Linked DNA regions of Schizosaccharomyces pombe. The gene in region 1 interacts genetically with each later gene. Each region holds a gene or a part of one and is shown on either strand. Other genes may lie near its edges.

The links. A genetic interaction does not mean that the proteins touch.
Region 2: of mip1 (region 1) and ptr1, a mutation in one rescues a mutant of the other (synthetic rescue), as found in Schizosaccharomyces pombe (one study listed by BioGRID).

What each region holds. Positions count from the first base shown.
Region 1 is NC_003424.3:1,516,723-1,523,411, forward strand, and holds mip1 (WD repeat-containing protein), read right to left. Parts: upstream 4,721-6,689; 5' UTR 4,569-4,720; coding exon 627-4,568; 3' UTR 501-626; downstream 1-500. Other genes in the region: ssz1 (putative heat shock protein Pdr13), read right to left, coding at 67-144; coatomer gamma subunit Sec21, read left to right, coding at 4,990-5,020, 5,065-6,689. UniProt on the Schizosaccharomyces pombe protein: Component of TORC1, which regulates multiple cellular processes to control cell growth in response to environmental signals. Tor2 is essential for growth. Nutrient limitation and environmental stress signals cause inactivation of TORC1.
Region 2 is NC_003424.3:5,206,663-5,211,645, reverse strand, and holds the start of ptr1 (E3 ubiquitin-protein ligase), read right to left. Parts: upstream 3,007-4,983; 5' UTR 2,871-3,006; coding exon 1-2,870. Other genes in the region: terminal uridylyltransferase Cid1, read right to left, coding at 3,511-4,343, 4,445-4,585, 4,690-4,933. UniProt on the Schizosaccharomyces pombe protein: Probable ubiquitin ligase protein involved in mRNA export. E3 ubiquitin ligase proteins mediate ubiquitination and subsequent proteasomal degradation of target proteins.

The DNA of each region.
Region 1 (6,689 bases):
ATAAAGCAAGTCTATGCGAATGAACTAGGAGATTACTCATTTCTCCAAGTAAAAAAATTTTCTTACCCTATTAAAAGCAATAGAACTGTTTTGATTTCCAAAAGAAATTCCAATGACAGTCTTGTATTCTTCGGAATCTGCCATTATAAAATTTTCGCTGAATGGGAGAGTTTTCGTTAGCTTCAGCTGCATCAGAATTTACGACCCGAATATAAGAAAGTAATAGTACAATGCGAAAACATGAAATTGTGAATAAATAAATAAATTGGTATATTAGTATATTATTAATTATTTTTTAAGTTAAAAAAAGCTTTTTTTTCTTGACATTAAAAAACATTGATAATTACTAGCTTTTTCATAAAATGTATATAAAAGATTCAATTTTTCGATGAATGTAATATCTTAATTGTAAATTAGTGATTTTTTAAACTTCTTCAAAACCATATTAAAAATTGGTTTTACAAATATCTATAGCAGAGTTACACGGCAAAGGAGAAGACTAAGCAAAGTGGCAGGTTTAGCAAAATATGTATAATAACCAAATTAAGTGTTGCTAATAGAAAGAAAAGTCTAATCAGGTAAAGTAATCAATAATAAATTATGTTAAAACTATAGGAAAACATGGTTTAAAACTCGTTCGGCGAATCCGTATGAATCTCGTTTTTGGTGCAAGAGTATAGATTAACTCTACTATCTGTGTTATCACCACATGCAAGTAATAAATGATGCGGGTGAAACTTCAGGCACATTAAACTGGATGGTTTAGGCTGATTAAGGAACCGTGGATTTTCACGGAAGGTATTAATATTCTGGCCTAACGTGTCCCAAATTTTTATGCTTTGATTTGAGGAACCGGTTGCATAAACTGGGGCGTGACTATGCACAGTTAAAGAGGTGAGTCCAGAGTTGTCTGTTGAAAAAGTCTGTAAAGAATGATTCATCCTAATATCCCATAGCTTAACTTCACCATCTGAACTCGCCGAAATCAATTCTCGCATTCCGGAGGATTGCATTTCAACATTGACGATCTCGGACGAATGTTCTTTCCAAACATCCGTTAGTGAATCTCTTGCAGGCAATCGTTTGTCGTAAACACGAAGAACTCCATCTGAAAATCCAGCAACTATAATATTACAACCGACCAAATCGCTAGTTAAACTTGTAATACTATTACTGCTTCTTACTGGTAGGTTTGCATAGCAGATTTCTTTAGAAGCATCCCATATTCGAATAACGCGTACGTCTCCAGCAACAAGCAAGTGCCCACAGTTCTGTTGCCAACTCATTAAAAGGCTAGCATTTCGATCTCCAAAGACAAGATCACTTAGAGAATTCCACGAAGTTACCAGTTCAACCTTTTCATTTTCGTAGTCACGATACAGTTTAATTGTGCCATCAGAAGACCCAGTCATCAATAAAGCAACATCATCTTCATTTAGTAATTGCATGTCGGTCACGTTAGTTGTCGCACTTGCTGAAGTTTTGAAAGAATTGAGGCAACGATTGCGACGCCAGTCCCATACCTGAATGATATCTTTGTCACCTAATGTAATTAACTGATCTTCAAATTGGTGAAACATAAGCTTCCTAGGAGCGATAGTATTATTAAATGTCATAAGTTGTTGATTCCAACGACCGTTGGTTGAGTATTCAGCAAGGGGACGAGTACGATAAATAAGTTTTTCGTTTCTGTTTCTTCTCCACAAACGTTGATTATAGCAAATACTTCCAGGTTCATCGTCTTCGTTCGGCCGCATTTGGGGTTCGGTAAAATACTTACGAGACCAATCAAATAAGTAACTTGTAAGCGGCATGTCTAGCTCGGATTGGTATTCAAGTTCATTAAATGCAGGTGGACCAGGAACTTTGGCGGAAGTTAAGTGATTTAAATTAGACTCTGCAGGTTTGTTTTCTCCATTTAAGGAAAGTAATTCAGAAGCGCGATCACTTCCTGCCAGGCTTAAAGCCAAGCCTTTCAACGATCTAGTCAGAGAGAATGACCTGTTCAAGATTTTGTTTTCTGAAACAGAAGGAACGAAGGGATGTGGCTTCGGGTCGCTCGTAACTGAATTAGTATCGGTATCTTTGGAAAGAGAAGCTTTATGGAGAGCAGGTAAGTGTTGCAGAAGAAATGCTAAAAATGATTCTCTTAATTCAGAATTTAGCATACTCTGATAAACGTAATTTATTATGGCTTCAGCTGCAAGAGAAATTTCGATGCTTGGATCTGCAGCCAAAACCAAAACAGCTTGCCAAACTGTTTCGTAAATTGTCGAAGCACTGATAGAATTGTGGTTCTTTTTCTCAAGGATATCTGCTAAACTGCTCTCATACGCAACTACCATTAATTGCTTCTTATAATTCACTACAAAGTGAGAAAGGAATATCACTAGTTCATGTCGAACTAATGGTGACGCATCAGAAAGAGCTGCTAACGCCGCAATTGCAATATAAGTTTCAACAGCAACGACTTCTTCGGTCTTCTCAGGAAATCCCAAAAAAGTGGTAAACGCTGTTAAAACTGATGCACGAACTTCAGGAACGGAGTCAACGATGATTTCAGCTAATTTTACATGTGCATTATCACGAGTTCCAGACCATTTAGCTTCAGAGTAATTTTCCCAAAGCTGAGAAATACATAGGCAAGCCCATTGTCTTAATAAAGAGTCGGGACTATTTAAATGGGAAAGACAATGTGATAAAACCTGTGGGTTTAAACAAGCTAGCTGGCCTTGTGGGAACCCACGACAAAAAACACTGAGGATGAACGCACACATTGCTCGGTGTTCGGAAATATTACTTGAAGGAAAAATGGAAGAATTAGGGTTCAAAATTTGGACAAAATATCCATAGCCATTGTCTTTTAGTAAGTCAGCTTGACAAGAATCATCTACAGCAAGGATTCTCGCCCAAATAAATACCAACACAGGCTTTAACTCAATAGCTGGAGACTGGAGAAGTTTCAAAACGTAAGGAAATATACCAATAGAGAGCGCTAAATCTACCGCCCACACCCCGAGATCCAGAAATTTTGAGAGAAGAATTAGTGCACGCAATCGATGAACTTGTGAAAGTAATACCTGCAAAACTAGCGGTAATTGATCCGGTGGCTTTCTGCTAATTAGTCCTTGAGAGAGCCATACCTCAAAGGCAGTTAATTGCTCACTAAAAAATGTCGAATGCTTGTACTCGTAGGCTATGCCTTTGCTTTCAGCATCAAGCATATCAGGTAACTGAGATAGACAATTATCAATGGCCAAATCCCAAGAATTCCACATAGGATGATCGTGGGTAGGGGGGAGTTCAGGACTGGACTGAGGATGACAGGAATGAACGAGCATTATACGTTCCGCTAATAGAAAGTTACGAAACAGTGCTGCTACCATAAGATCTTGCCTAAATAATCTTCTGAAAAGATGCTTTGGAAAGACATTCCAAGCAATCGTATCTGTAATAGCAGTAAATATCCAGTTTAATTCGCCTAATGGAGTACGCCGATCTTGCAAGCGACCGGGAATTTTAAGAAGCATATTCAAATTAAGCTTATTAGGAAACGGGTTTTGCAAGACATACCAACGAACCGAAATTTCAATTGGGGAGGTAAGGCAAGAAGTAAACAAATCAGCTGGCAGATCTGGGTTCATCGGAAGGGTTTCTTTAGGCCCACAAGCAGCAAGTTGAATACAACTAGTATGAGAAGGCATAGCGAGCACATTGGGATTTTGCTTAGCAATACGGAGAGCTTCTTTGTCTCTCTGCTCGGCAAAACGATTAAAATTCACTATGATATTCCCAGCTGCGCTACAATCGTAAACATATATACAAGGCGCTCCAAGCCAAGATTGTAAGTCATAAAGCGATACAGGAATGTATTGAGTATAATTTTTATTGAAAACCCAGATTTCACCAGAGGCAGTAGGCATTGGGACACCATGACCATTATAATGAAAAAGGATCCGTTCCTCTTTAGCGTTTCGTCTTTGACCAATGCAAAGTTTTTTGACTTCTTCAATTGCGGGATCAAGGTAATGCCTATATCTTGTTCTCATACTTAATGTTTCATATTGTTGCTGCAAGTTCTTGCCAATGGCTTCAAGTGCTTTAGAAGCAGGTAATGAAAACGGATCAATCCAACATTCATATTTCGCTGCAGGATTAGGCTTTATAACATCAGGAGGATCCACCCCTATGTTTAAGCAAACTAACAATGCTGCAGAAACAGTTTTAAGCCGTTCGCGCATTCTCCAATCATGAATTGTTTCAGTAGGTTCGGCATTCTTTTTGCTGATCACCCCCCGATGCCGTTTATCAGTGTAATACATGTAAAAGACCTGCTCTAACATGTTTATATATTCAGCATTGTTGTACTCTTCTTCAAAACCATGTCTAGGTTGCGGGAATCCGGACTGTATCCCATCTATCATTGAACTCGCTGTATCGACACCATTCTCTGTAGCAATGTTGCTGTTCTCTGTGTATCTATCGCTTCCGGTCTCGGTTGTTCCATAGCTTAAGACTGATCTACGAGCCCTTGAGCTACCAGATACTTCACTAATTCTATCATTCATGTCGCATAGCTCAAAATCAAATACAACATTTCAAGAACTCTTCCCTATGTACAAAAGGTCGGTAAATCAGGAACTCAAGGGAAACTTAATTAACAAAACAAAAAAAAATAAGAGAAAATTAAGATGACTCTGTATGTATATACGAATTACGCAAGTGATATAGGAGAAATGTCAAAGCAATTAAACCATGTAAGTTACGAACTTTTGCAGTGTTTTATGGGCATATTTCGTTATACTGTTTAACGCTCGTAAAATACTTCAGTAATCCACTTAAGAAATATAAAATACACAACACGTTATACTTTGGTAATAATCGAAACCTCCTACTAGCTAATTATTTATCTACTACATACATCCAGTACGTTCATTTAGTTCTCTATATCTGTATTTCTGCTAAATACAAGAGACTTTTGTAAAGAAGATGAGTTATTCTAAAAAAGATGATGATGGTGGTATGTTGATTGTTTGGAATTATGAGCTGACCTTTTAACAATAGACGAATCGATATTTGCCAATGTCAATCAAGTCACAGTAACTCAAGATGCTAGGGCTTTTAATTCATCTTCCATAAGCCCTAGAAAGAGTAGACGTCTTCTTAGCAAAATCGCCTACTTGATATATACGGGAGAGCATTTCCAGGAAAAGCAAGCTACAGAACTCTTTTTTGGTATTACTAAACTTTTCCAACACAAAGACCCTAGTCTTCGCCAATTTGTTTATATTATTATCAAGGAGCTTTCCGTTGTTGCTGAAGATGTGATTATGATTACCAGTAGTATCATGAAAGACACCGCTACGGGACGTGAAACTATATACCGTCCTAATGCTATTCGCTCTTTGATTCGTGTCATTGATGCTAACACTGTCCCTGCGATTGAACGCATTTTAACTACGGGTATTGTTGACCCCATATCAGCTGTTGCCAGCGCTGCTCTTGTTTCCGCATATCATTTATATCCTGTTGCGAAAGACATTGTATCGCGTTGGAACAACGAGGTTCAAGACGCGGTCACATCTCATAATGTTGGTAGAAAAGTTGCTAGCTCTCCTTTTTTCACCTCTACCTTGGGTTACACACCAAATGCCAGCGGCATTTCTCAATATCATGCTTTAGGTCTTCTGTACCGTATTCGAAGACATGATTCGATTGCAATGAATAAGTTATTGCAGCTGCTTGTAAGCAATTTAGGAACAGTCTCAAATTCTCATGCATTTGTTATGCTTATCCGCTACATTTCTAGTCTAATGGATCAAAACACTCAATTTAGAGACCAGATGGTTCCATTTCTACATGGGTGGTTAAAAAGTAAAGGAGACATGGTAAACTTAGAAGTTGCTAGAAATATGGTCCGTCTCAAAAATATCTCAGATGATGACTTGCAACCTGTGGTTAGCGTTCTTAAAATTTTCTTGTCGTCTCACCGATCCGCTACCCGATTTTCAGCTATTCGTACGCTTAACGAGTTAGCCATGACACGTCCACACTTAGTACATTCCTGCAATCTTAATATCGAGTCTTTAATTACCGACGTGAATCGCTCCATTGCCACCTACGCTATCACAACACTTCTAAAGACTGGTAATGATGAGTCTGTCGACCGTTTGATGAAACAGATTGTTACCTTTATGTCCGATATTTCAGATAATTTCAAAATTATCGTCGTTGATGCCATTCGTTCTTTATGTCTAAAATTTCCTCGCAAGCAAGATTCAATGCTTACCTTTCTTAGTAATATACTTTGCGATGAAGGTGGTTATGAATTTAAACGTGCTGCCGTTGATGCTATTTCTGACATGATTAAATACATTCCGGAATCTAAAGAACGAGCCCTTGCCGAGTTATGTGAATTTATAGAGGATTGTGAATATCCTAAGATTGCGGTACGGATTTTATCTATTCTCGGCGAAGAAGGTCCTAAAGCCTCAGAACCAACGAGATTTATCCGCTATATTTACAATCGGATTATGCTTGAGAATGCCATCGTACGTTCCGCTGCCGTTAGCGCTTTGACCAAATTTGGATTGAATGCGGAAGATAAATTTGTCCAACGGAGTGTTAAGGTTATTCTCACAAGGTGTTTGGAAGATGCTGATGACGAGGTTCGTGATCGTGCTGCTTTT
Region 2 (4,983 bases), 3.7 Mb from region 1:
TTACTACCAAGTTTATGAATCATTTTGTATTCATTGAAATCTTGTACGCTTGTATTTCCTAAAGCTCGAGTTAATGAAGTGAAAAACTTAGATACTCCATAAGCAATTTGAGAAAAATTCGAACGTATATTCTGAAATTTACAAAAAGATGAATCTTGTGTTAATTCCTTTTTCTTTGTCTCAAACTTTTCTTTTTCATCTTTGTCGGTAACGATGGTAGTCAAGGAGTCACTGCAAAGAACAAAGTCATCAGAAACACCTAAACATATATGTATGTCCAATGATGTTGCAATGCTTTTAATATTACATAAAATATCAAAAATACCAGCATAACGTGAAGGACTAATAAAAAGTTGAACTAATGGAAGATTTCCAGCTTTTTTCAATGCAGCATGGGAAGAAAATAGCTCAGCGAAAATAGTCAGCAAATTCCCAACGATTGAGAAATGTAGAAAATTATTTGCATCTTCGTGGCCCATATTTGAGTCCTTTATCAATGAAATCGTGGCTTGTTTCAGTGAGACTATAGTAAACTCAGTAATGCCTTCTTCACATCGAGTAATTATACAGTCTAGCAAGGGCCGAAAGACCTCTGGAGCATCAAAATCAACTGCATGATGTAAAAGAACAAAAAACGAGTTGAAGGCAGAAGAGTCTATAAATCCAAAAGCCAGTACGGGATGTTGAATGAGATTGAGCACGTGCGACACAATCCCTTTGGATATTAAATACCTTGCGTGACCTTCGTTTGTAATAATATTTTCAAGAAAACTAGAAAATGTTTCAAGATACAACAAATAAGGATATTCTTTGGCATTTATATATTGAAATGGATTGAAATTGTCAAGAAGAGCGGAAACCTGGTCACAGGCTTTAAATATCATCTTCACAATTGGATCTTTAAGGGAGGGTTGATGCCGCATAAGTTCGTCGATGTAAGTACCAAGGATGGCAGCATTATCGCTTGATATAAGTGACTTACAATGATTTAACGATGTGAATATTGAGAAAAGTTGTGGGATAGGATTTTTCTCTAAAAATAAATCAAACCCTTGAGAGTTCAAGCATATTGCACCAAAAGCTAAAGGAATTGATGTTATTGCATCAGAAGAATTGAGTATTTTCCGATTGACAGCATCCAAAAATGCATGTGACAATTTCTTTTCATGAATAATTCCATAGCAAGTAGGCTCATTATGGATGAATGTTGACATTATATTAGTAGTAGATGCGAATAAGTTGGAGCCATAGACTTCATGGTGCTCTAGCAGAAAAGCAAGGGATGAAATGAGAGAAGAATCAATTAAATTACGAAGCTCAACGACAGAGCCACCTGATTGAATTAGATGTAACACAAACTTGAGTAAATTTTTTAGAAGGAAGTAACGGTCATATGAAATGGCATAATCCATATTTAAAACAATCTCTGGGTTACCTTTTCCAGATTTAATATCTTGAAGTCCAGCCTCAAGCTCGTATTGAACACGGTCAACCAGCATATCCAATCCTTTAGACTCAGAAAAATCTGGGAATGCCATAGAGTAACCATCGATGAGATGGTCCAACATGACAATCGATCTTGCTACAACATAAGTAGCCTGTGGAGTCTTCACAGACAGATGATAACCCAAAAGAGAAGTGAGACCTGCAGAACAGGCCATGTTACCGCCAAGAGGCGATGAAGTCATAAATTGAAGGAAGTCATAAAAACTATCAACATATTCTCTCTCGTAATAGAAATTCGGGTTTTCTAAGTTTTTAGAAAAATCACGAACGAGATTCATCATTAATCCGTAACTAACAGATACATTTAAAGATGCCAGTACAGATGGAATCATACTCTTCTTAAAGAAGAAAGCTTTAAAACATTCAAAACAAACAGCTTTAAAGTTTTGAGGAAGATCCACATCTGGAGAAACCAAATTAGCTAAATGGGTGGTGATTTCCGGATCGGCGATTAAAAATCTTGTTTGAACTGCCTGAGAATGAGCATAAACAAGATTAGAAAGAGCCAATAATCCGATACGAATCATCAAGCGCCGTCTATTTATATCATAAAGATTTTGACGTAACATTAGTGAAACAAGGAGATCAAATGAATATTGTTCAGGAATCTGATTATCGTGCAAAGTTTTCACAAGAAGCTCTTCTATAGGCTTTCCAAGAACTTTATTATATGGTAATTTTAAAATCGAAAATCCTTCAGAATTTGGTTGACTTGCAGATGAAAAATCTTTTGATGGAGAGCTTTTATAATAAGAAAGCTCCAAAGAACACCATTCTTGCGGGATCTCATTTGAAAATAACAAAGTCTCGTAATTTTGTGAAAATCCGGTTTTCATTGCATCTTGAGGAAGAAACATTAAAAAGCGAAATAACCGATCTTGTGAAAGAGAAAACAGCTGCTTTCCTCGCTTTGAAATCGTTGCTTTTTGTACAATATGAAGAAGCAAGGCTAATGTAGAATCTATAACTTCGAGCACAGAGCTATTTAATAAATACTCTAGATAAACAGTAGAGTTATATATGGAGCGATTCGCGCAATGACTAAGCAGATGCGCCGAAAAGCTCAGGATCTCTAACAAGATACTCAAAGTGTCAGAATCAAAAGGTTTTGTCTGAACTTTATCCTTTAAAGAATAATGTTCAACAATACGTTCCAGAATAGCATCAAACCTATTCAAAACTGGGACCCATGAATACAAATCGCCACGAGGATATGGCCAATCGTTTTTTCTGAATTCTGAACAAAGAGAGACAAGACCCAAGTCTGAAGTTACTTCTTCATTTTGAGCTTGTCTAATAAACTCAGCAACCCTAGGAGGTGGCTGAGAATATTGATTTTTAGGAGGACTTTTCGTTATCCTCATTTTTGCTTAAAGCATCAAAATCTCGAAATATAGTTAAATACCCACCTTGAGAAAAATGCCAAATTTATTATGTTCTAATGAATTGTACCAACGAACAGAAGGGAAATAGACCCAGCTGAATGTTTGGTAAAAGTTCAAATGTGATGGTTAGCATGCTGCAATGCGTCTACAAATTTGGAAACAATATGAATTTTACGAAAAAATTTGATAAGCTAAAATAATTTCTGTACGCTATAGTAATTAAGAAAAAAAGATAAACTCTTTATATGTGTTTACGCACATTACCGAGGCTAAACGAAAAAATATTTGGTTATTTCCGTTCAATTTAAAGAAATTGATATAAACAATAGCTTAGCATTTGCAATAAATAATTATTAATTATAGATCTATGAAAATTTTTTGGACATTGATGTTAACTATGATGAGCCTATTTTCTCACCAACAAGTAGACTATTAACAAGAGGTTGTACATAAAACAAAGGGGGAAAGGTATTAGAAACAAGAGGTCAAAATTTTTAAAGAAAAATAAAAACATTCCATGCTTTCAAAAGTAAGCAAATAAAAGCAGAGTAATAATGAATGATTACTATGAATCTAGGGGAATGAATATTGATGCGCTTTTTAAGACTTCTTTGTAAAATCACTCAGAATTGTCACCATCGGTTTCATTCAACAATTTTTTGTTAGATTGTTCATCCGTTTTTTTCTGGCGACGAGGCGGAATTGGGGCCTCCTCAAATAATGAATCATAAGGGATAGGATATGAGCGAGAATTGAGCAACCTTGAAGCGGCCATAAATTCCCCTCGAATCCGATACAATCCAGAACTGCTAACTGTCCTACCCACATTATGTGAAATCTCGAAAGGATCTTCAATCGCAAGAATATACCTGTCTTTTATAATTTGATCAGCCGATCCAGTGTGTTCAGTAGCTGAAGTCCATCCTTTCTCTTGCTTTGTGAGGTAACCGTCTGGTCTACGAAAAGTTACTACCTTTTCCCGTGGCTCGAACTTATAAGCATAAAATCTAAAAAAGCCATGAAGTAAACTTCCCAATGAGCTATAATTTTGGGAAGGAGGGATATCTTCCAGTTTATCGTCAAAACCAACGTCAAATCCATCAACTATCTTTTCTTGTTTCAAAGGTGACAACAGTAAATTAGGAAAGACGGGAGGCTTGATAACGTGAATCAGATAGTAAAGAACCATTAGGACGTAACCATAACTGGAAAGAGTTCCAAAGTAAGGAGAGTTGATTTGCTTCCGTTTGGCCCAATGCTTAACAAGAAGGACCATGGGTTTTAGGCGAGCATCTAATTTTGTATATGAAGAAAGTAAAAGCGTATTATGAATAGCTAGACGATTGTTAAATCCAATATCACATTGAAACGAAGCCCCAAATCCATTTTTCGTATCAGATGTTAATTTGATAATGGGAATTCTTGCCCTTTGTAAAAATTTTCCTTCAAATCCTGTCGATAGTTAGTTATGCGAGCCAACTGGAAAGGAAAAAAACAATATTCAGAGATAGTTTGTCTAAACTGAATAACTTTTAATGAATAATTATACTTACCTTCAGCTATAAGCTCTTCATAGAATTGGAGCGCAATTGTATCACTTTGGACGCGCGAATCCATAAGCACGCACAAATCCATATCCGAATTTTTAAGTGCTAAACCAGATTCCAAACTTCCAAAGGCTACCAATTCAGCATCTAAGTCACATATCATTAGAATTGGACATTATCAATATTTGGTAAAGTCTCCACTCTCGTTAACTACATAATTGAGACAGTCCTAAATTTATATTCAAACATACCAGGGGATATTCGTTTAAGGCATAGCCGAAGTGTATCTAATGCCGCTCTCTTTTCTTTAAACTCTTTGTCACTAATTTTAATCTCATTATACACTTCATAGCAAAACTTCGTAAATTCCTTGTGCGAATTAGGGACCTTTTGGTAGCTACAACTTTTTGAAATATGTAAATTTTTGTGAATTTCTGCCTCAATCTCTTCAACTGTGTGAACACCAGGAATAAATTGTGCAGAAGAAATGTTCATATTCGTCTACTGCTCAAAAGGTGAAAGTGGCAAACTTATTCACTTTCTCT